Linked DNA regions of Saccharomyces cerevisiae S288C. The main gene of each other region encodes a partner of the protein of the gene in region 2 in a complex. Each region holds a gene or a part of one and is shown on either strand. Other genes may lie near its edges.

The links. Proteins that work in one complex are often made in the same cells at the same time.
Region 1: UFO1 (region 2) and CDC53 share a complex: the UniProt entries of both Saccharomyces cerevisiae proteins name them as parts of the probable SCF(UFO1) complex.

Annotation. Positions count from the first base shown.
Region 1 is NC_001136.10:222,726-227,320, forward strand, and holds CDC53 (cullin CDC53), read left to right. Parts: upstream 1-1,578; coding exon 1,579-4,026; downstream 4,027-4,595. Other genes in the region: SRF1 (phospholipase D regulator), read left to right, coding at 1-1,015. UniProt on the Saccharomyces cerevisiae protein: Core component of multiple cullin-RING-based SCF (SKP1-CUL1-F-box) E3 ubiquitin-protein ligase complexes which mediate the ubiquitination and subsequent proteasomal degradation of target proteins.
Region 2 is NC_001145.3:90,562-94,810, reverse strand, and holds UFO1 (SCF ubiquitin ligase complex subunit UFO1), read right to left. Parts: upstream 2,577-4,249; coding exon 570-2,576; downstream 1-569. Other genes in the region: AIM33 (cytochrome-b5 reductase), read left to right, coding at 1-380; RPM2 (ribonuclease P), read left to right, coding at 4,080-4,249. UniProt on the Saccharomyces cerevisiae protein: Substrate recognition component of a SCF (SKP1-CUL1-F-box protein) E3 ubiquitin-protein ligase complex which mediates the ubiquitination and subsequent proteasomal degradation of target proteins. Probably recognizes and binds to phosphorylated target proteins.

The DNA.
Region 1 (4,595 bases), on a different chromosome or scaffold from region 2:
TGATGGAAATGTTACCGATGATAAAAATCTTCCAAAAGAGTTTAAATGGGGCCAGTTTGCATCTACCATCGGCTGTCATTCTGCATACACTAGAGACCAAAACTACAATCCTAGTCACAAATCCTACGATGGTTACTCTCTATCATCATCTACCTCATCAAAAAATGCGGCTCTTAGAGAAATTTTAGGTGACATGTGCAGCGAGTGGGGAGGTGAAGAACGACTAGAAGGTGTTCTACATTCAGAAATAGGTGCCAATTTAGAGTTCAACACGACAGAAGAGAGAAAAGAGTGGTTACAATATATCGAAAAGGTAAAAGATTTCTATTACGGTGATAATAAGAAGAACCCAGAATCACCCGAATCAGTACACAACAAAGTTTACAAGTCAGATTGGGTAAATGAGCTCAATAAAGAGAGAGAAAAGTGGCGGAGGTTAAAGCAAAGGAAGTTACAACAGTGGAGACCTCCTTTGACGTCGCTATTACTTGATAATCAATATTTGATTTTGGGTTTGAGGATTTTCACTGGTATATTATCGTGCATTTCACTTGCTCTGGCAATCAAGATTTTTCAAAACTCAAGATCAAATAACACCATCAGTGAAAGTAAAATCGGGCAACAACCAAGCACCATAATGGCCATCTGCGTCAACGCCGTGGCGATTGCGTATATTATTTACATTGCACACGATGAATTTGCTGGTAAACCTGTTGGTTTGAGGAATCCGTTAAGCAAACTGAAACTAATTTTGTTGGACTTACTTTTTATAATTTTTTCAAGCGCTAATCTAGCGCTGGCATTTAATACTCGTTTCGACAAAGAGTGGGTTTGCACTTCTATTCGCAGGTCAAATGGAAGCACGTATGGATACCCAAAAATACCGCGTATCTGCAGAAAACAGGAAGCTTTATCCGCTTTTCTGTTCGTTGCCTTGTTTATGTGGGTAATCACTTTCTCGATCAGTATTGTTAGAGTAGTCGAAAAAGTCAGTTCAATTACCAACAGAAACTGAGCTCGACAAATATAGAAATTAAAAGAATTCTTTTAGATACCAAGATTGACATTTATATGCATTGTATATTTTTGACTTAAAAAATTACTCCGGCTTGGCATTTATTCATTAACGGCGGGTTTGATTATATTAGGCTTTGTGCGATATAATATGTATTACCCGAAGGGAGGGCTATTGCACTTTCTTTTCCTTTCCGTTTTAAGGGCCCTTTTTCATTTCGATGTTTGATGGACACACATGAAGTGAAATGTGGCAAATAGAACATCTAGAAAAACTAGGGCATTAGGTAAAGTACCCCAGCAGAACTTCACTTTACAACGCAATTGATTCATATCACTGCTCTTTTATATTGTCCTTTTTCTCTTTTAGAGCTTTTCATCCGCATCTTCTAACTTCTGTGCACCCCTTTCATTGTTGATTACATTTTACCTCAGTTACACATTTCTTTTAGCAATTCGACATTGCTTCTACTTACCGATAAATAAGCGTACATTTTTGAGTCTTGAAAGGATTCTTACATATACCTAAACAAAGAATAACAACAAAATCGCAAGCAGCAAAGCATGTCTGAGACTCTGCCTAGATCTGATGATTTAGAGGCCACTTGGAACTTTATAGAGCCAGGAATTAACCAAATACTGGGTAATGAGAAAAACCAAGCATCCACGTCTAAGCGAGTTTACAAAATTCTTTCTCCAACCATGTATATGGAAGTCTATACCGCAATTTATAACTACTGTGTGAACAAATCACGCTCGTCTGGACATTTTAGTACTGACAGTAGAACTGGCCAATCAACAATTTTGGTTGGCAGTGAGATTTACGAAAAGTTAAAGAATTATTTGAAGAATTACATTTTAAATTTTAAGCAGTCTAATTCAGAGACCTTTTTGCAGTTTTACGTCAAGCGCTGGAAAAGGTTTACAATAGGTGCCATTTTTTTAAACCATGCATTCGATTATATGAATAGATATTGGGTTCAAAAGGAAAGAAGTGACGGCAAAAGGCATATTTTTGATGTAAACACCTTGTGCTTGATGACATGGAAAGAAGTCATGTTTGATCCGAGTAAAGATGTTTTAATAAACGAATTATTAGACCAGGTAACCTTGGGAAGGGAGGGGCAAATAATTCAAAGAAGTAATATTAGCACTGCCATAAAGTCTTTAGTTGCACTAGGTATCGATCCACAGGATTTGAAAAAGTTGAACCTAAATGTCTACATCCAAGTTTTCGAAAAGCCATTTTTAAAGAAGACTCAGGAGTACTACACGCAATATACAAACGATTATTTAGAGAAACACTCGGTAACTGAGTATATTTTTGAAGCACATGAAATCATCAAACGTGAGGAAAAAGCAATGACAATATATTGGGATGATCATACAAAAAAACCACTATCCATGGCATTAAACAAGGTCTTGATCACAGACCATATTGAAAAGTTGGAAAATGAGTTTGTTGTCCTTCTGGATGCCAGAGATATTGAAAAAATTACTTCTTTGTACGCACTAATACGCAGAGACTTTACATTAATCCCAAGAATGGCTTCAGTGTTTGAAAATTATGTTAAAAAGACAGGTGAGAATGAAATTTCGAGTCTACTGGCAATGCATAAACACAATATTATGAAAAACGAAAACGCAAACCCTAAAAAACTAGCACTAATGACAGCTCACTCCCTTTCTCCTAAAGACTATATCAAGAAATTACTGGAAGTACACGATATATTCTCTAAGATTTTTAATGAAAGTTTCCCCGACGACATACCTTTAGCTAAAGCTCTAGATAATGCGTGTGGTGCTTTCATCAACATCAACGAGTTCGCATTACCTGCTGGATCTCCAAAAAGTGCCACCTCGAAGACTTCCGAGATGCTAGCTAAGTACAGTGATATACTATTAAAGAAGGCCACCAAACCTGAAGTGGCAAGTGACATGTCAGATGAAGATATTATAACAATATTCAAATATTTGACCGACAAAGATGCGTTCGAAACTCATTATAGAAGACTTTTCGCCAAGCGTTTAATTCATGGCACTTCAACATCAGCAGAAGACGAAGAAAATATTATTCAAAGGCTGCAAGCGGCAAATAGTATGGAATATACAGGCAAGATAACTAAAATGTTTCAAGATATTAGACTTTCCAAGATCTTGGAAGACGATTTTGCTGTCGCCCTGAAGAATGAACCAGATTACTCTAAAGCAAAATATCCAGATCTACAACCATTTGTATTGGCAGAAAATATGTGGCCATTTTCATACCAAGAAGTTGAATTTAAGCTACCCAAGGAATTGGTACCATCTCACGAAAAATTGAAGGAGTCATACAGCCAAAAGCATAATGGTAGAATATTGAAGTGGCTATGGCCATTATGTCGTGGCGAATTGAAGGCAGATATTGGAAAACCCGGCAGGATGCCGTTCAACTTTACGGTAACACTGTTTCAAATGGCAATTTTGCTACTATATAACGATGCTGATGTATTAACCTTAGAAAATATTCAAGAGGGCACGAGCTTAACCATTCAGCACATCGCAGCGGCAATGGTACCATTCATCAAATTCAAACTGATTCAACAGGTCCCACCAGGGCTAGATGCTCTCGTGAAACCTGAAACACAATTCAAGCTATCACGTCCTTATAAGGCGCTTAAGACCAATATTAATTTCGCTAGCGGAGTCAAAAACGACATTCTGCAATCGCTATCCGGTGGAGGCCACGATAATCACGGTAATAAGTTAGGAAACAAACGCTTGACGGAAGACGAAAGAATAGAAAAAGAATTGAATACAGAAAGGCAGATTTTCTTGGAAGCTTGTATTGTGAGAATAATGAAAGCGAAAAGAAATCTGCCACATACAACATTGGTCAACGAATGCATTGCGCAATCACACCAAAGGTTCAATGCAAAGGTTTCTATGGTCAAGAGAGCCATCGATAGCTTAATACAAAAGGGATACCTACAGAGGGGAGACGATGGTGAATCGTATGCTTACCTTGCTTAATCATCTTTGAAGGCTTGTGCTGATCGAACGAAGCAAATCCTACGAGTAAATACATAAGCGTATACATATATATATATATATATATATATATATATATATGTATATATATATATGTGTGTGTGTGTAATTGTGTGTATTCAACTGAACTATGAAGAGTCTTTGACCTCTTGAGAATCTCATAGTATGAAGATATGGCACTTCTCTTTCCGTTGTAACATCCTTTACCGGGCGGCTTTTCGGCCTGCTTGAGAAGAGATCAGGCTGAAATGATGAGACTGACAACAAGGATCAGTCAGTGGCAGAGTTGAAATTCCGCTGGAAATCGTCACCAGCAGCTACCAGCTCCAAGAAATCCGCGTAGAAATCACGTCGCGCAATGTGCGATAGTGGTGGAACAGCGAAAATTAGTCACTTTGCAAAGATGCCAAGCTGATCGTTCTCGTTGTGTGTGATTCTACGATATTGCGCATGAGTGGTGTTGAGCATGCGTTTGTTCGCATTTTCATGCAGTCTCTTATATACTAATATATATATGCAACAGATTTCAAAATTTATCTTTCTTCTTGTTG
Region 2 (4,249 bases):
CTGGTATAACCCCTGTATTGCAAGTGCTGCAAGAAATCATACCCTCTCCAGAAGACCTAACACACATTTCTTTGATATACGCAAACGAAACAGAGGATGACATTCTCATGAAATCGCAACTAGACCACATGGCTAAGGAGTACCCGCATTTTAAAGTTCATTATGTAATTCATAAGCCAAACGGTAAATGGAACGGTGATGTTGGGTACGTAACTCTAGAGGAAATGAAAAGATACCTACCTAAACAAGCGGAGGACCATCGTTTATTGATTTGCGGACCACCTAAAATGAATGAAATGGTTTTGAATTATGCAAAGGAGTTGGGGTGGAGTAATGGGTTTCACAAAGGTAATGGAACCGATAAAGTTTTTGTTTTTTAATCAACTGTTTACGATTGATGATTTTTCATGTAAATAAGCATTAATTATATTTAGATATATATTCGTATTTTATTAATAATTAGGAGGAATAAAGTCCGACATTTTTTTCAAAAAAAAAAAAATAATATTTCACAACGAAAAATCTATAAATAAAATATTTAACATATGCTCTTCCAAATGTACATACTTTCAATTGATTTCACTCAATGACAACGCAATGGCCAATTGTAAGTCTTCATCAACATTATTACTAGCATCAACGCCAACAGAACTACCGATAGTGTTCTCAGTTGAGGTTCGTTCGGATGACTCTGCTGCACCATATGTAGCAAAATTATCGTCGCTCAAGGGCCCATTTCGTCGACCTGTAGTATGATTTCTAAGATGTCTTCTCCTTTCGTCCTCCACTCTTGATTGTCTGATGGCTCTGAGAAACTCTTCATCATCTTCATCTATCTCATCATTCGTATTATTACCATGATTCGCAGAGCTATTCGTTTGCGTCTCATATATCAGTTGAGATTCCTCCAGCGCCCTTCTTAACTGCTCATCTTCATCATCTCCGACAGGCTCCCCCGCTTCAGCTTGATTCCGTGCTTGCGCCTCCTGTGATTCTAAGAGTGCAATTCTCAACTGAATGTCGTTTTCTTCATCGGTGTCGCCTGAAAGTTCAAGGTCTCCACCATACGCATCGATCAATCTTGATATTTCTGACTGTCTTTTTCTTCTAAGGTCTTCATCTTCATCATAATATTGCAGCTCCGTGTTCAAAGTTTCATTCCACTTATTGCTTACTGTGTTTTTACCTTTAGTGGAATGGTGATGTTTCTTTGAATCACTTGAAACAAACTTTAAATAATTCAAAACGTTACCGCTTCCCATAATGATTTTATCCTGCGATACCTTCAAAAATTCGGGAAACTTCTCGGTTTTCAACACTGTCTTTATTAACTCGCCTGTCATCGCGTTCAATATTTGAAGAACATTTGGCAATGCTACCACAACTATTAAATTTGTCACCTGCGATACGTATACCTGCTCATCAAAACTTATCTTACATTGAACTTTTAAGCCTGACGAAGAAAGATCTCTTATATTGATAATGTATAAAGTGTTCTGTGTCGTCAAAAGACTGATATAGCAGCCGTCATCACCAGCAAATTGCCAGTTTTGTTCCCTTTGAGAAGTTTTTTCATCTATTTCAACTGCGCATATTTGTTCAGGCATCTCCAACTTTCTCAAATTGCCGAAGTTACCATTGGGATTGACCGATATTGTATAAACGTTATTCAGGTCAGCAAGTACCAAAGTCATGGAACCGAAATCCATCTTGAAAAACCGTACCCTCATAGGCTGTTCGTCCAGATCCTTAGGAATATCAATACTGTGCAATTCCTGCATTTGATGGATAATGTACAGCTTTTCATCATCCATAATTAAGGTCCAATCTTTAAAAAAAGCCAGTTTCCAAATTACCCTATTAGAAACCTTCCACATCTTAACAAGCTTATTTTCGCACCACCATATAATTTCACCGTTTTCAGAGCCACTAACAGACCAGTCCTCTCTTGACGTGTCCCAGGATTCTGAATTACAAATGGCAGTAACGCCTGCACTATGCCTTCCCGTAAATTCCATCACGGGCGTTAAGTACGATTTGTTACTTAGCAGTTTTCCAAACACTCTGCCGTCAAACCTACCAAACACTGCAGCATTAATATTGAAGTCCATGGTAGAACAACCTTGTGGTGTTGTACATGGAATATAAATCAATTTCTTAAATTTCTTCTGCCTTTTGTGATTTTGTAACTGTAAAATTGTAATGGTACCATCATTATAAGCTGCAACTCGTGGATAATCAAACACTATGCGTTCTATACTGGGCTGATCCCAGTTTCTCGTCGGAATTATTGTGTATTTGGTTCTTATAGCCTTGTTATGCTGCCAATGATGAAGACCCCGTGTCCTTTCAATATACTCTACACTAAATTTCGAAGACTGAGAAAATGTGGGGAAATGAGTCGTGTGAACTCTAGACTTAAACAGGTTCTTCCAAAGTTCTTCATCGTGAATTAAGTTCCGGAAATGCGTAGAAAGTTCTTGCAACGTGAACAAGTCCTTTTCGTCTAAGTGAGAAAAGATGTTTATCAGGATTTCGGGTGGAAGGTCCTGCAATACCAAGCCAGGCCGCTCCATGCTGTCTTATTCCCTAGTGTCGGCCACCTGATAAAGGTTTTTAACTCGTACCTGGTATACCTGCCTGTTAGATTTATTTAAGGCATCTCTAAGTAATACTGAAAACCGCCACATGCGAGAAAATGGAAAGGGAAAAATTAAGGCTGCGAAAATTAATAATAGCCAAAAAAAAGTGCATGATAAAGCCTCACCCCGAGTTCGAACCGGAAAAAAAAATAGCTAAGTGAACTACTTATCCAAAGCGCCAAAAGGGGTAACAAGAAGCATTTCCCGGCTTTTAAAATGCGTACATAAACTGCTAAAAAATGTCTTGTTTCTTTTTTCGGTATATTTGAAGACGGGGATTTTAAATCATGAAATACGTACTTCGCCCTAAAGAGTCACTACAGAATTTACAGAATAGTTAGATCGAAGCACGCTAAATTGGCACCCGAAATAACACTGCAGTTGTTGCAGCTGTGGCGCGCAGTGCGAATCTGCCGCAGAAAACCCAGGAAATAGCGACCGGACACCACGTAATGCAACGCTGACCTTTCGGCGGCAAAGAATTGGGGTAAACATATAAAGTATTATTTAAAGAGAGAGCAATTCCAAGACAACAGAAAATCTTACAATATATTTATCACAGAATTCGCGGCGCAATTATACGTGGCAAGGAACCTAGCAGGCTTTACGCAAGATGCCATGGAAAATTTAACATCTAAGGCTACCTGAATAAAATGCCAAAAGCGAAAAAACCGTCTGAGAGCCCGCTAAACTCTTCAGAGTCGGTAGTAGATACCAAGATTACGCTAGCCGCACATTTCCAATTTGTTGTTATTCCCTATGCCGCACGCTTGGCAAAGCTGTATATTTGACTCTTTTAGTAGATTTGTAGAGCTTTTCCTGGCATACAATAAGCAAAGACTTTATTTCCGCTCGAGTCCGCTTTTAACCGCCGAATTCCTCCGGCTAACCAATGAAATGCAAGAGCGCACAAAAAGTGGGGCAGCTCCGAATGCGCGCGTTCTCATTGGCCAGGCACTCGGGGCCGAGACTCGGTGTGCCTTACAATTCCCCCATGACAAAGCAAAAACTGTCAGTTTCCCTCGAATCATACACACGTCAATTACAAATCCATGGATTAAGTTGTCTCTCGTTCGTCCATATTACACTTTTCTCTTTAGTTGTATGCTTTATAAAATTGATCCGTGAAAAGTTTTCCACATAATAAACCAAGACAACAGGATTGTTTATAACGTTATAAGAAAGCAGAAGAAAATTTGCTGTGCGTTGTTTCCCTAATATCGCACCCAAAGAACCAAGACACATCATAAAAGGAGCTATAGCTTCAACTCTGACACAATTTTTTGTCAGTTTATATTCATCTTCACAAAAAAAAAAATTATACAAATATAGAAACAAATAACTCGCCCAGCTTTTTTTGCATAAAAAGATAAGTGCATTTAAATTTATAGAGACTACAACAAACAGAAAAGAAAAAACAAGCATACACAAACGAAAATGGCTTTCAAATCATTCATATACTCTAAAGGTTATCATCGTTCCGCCGCTCAAAAGAAAACTGCAACATCTTTTTTCGATAGCTCCTACCAGTATCTAAGGCAAAACCAAGGTTTGGTAAATTCGGATCCCGTACTTCATGCATCTCATCTACATCCTCATCCGGTCGT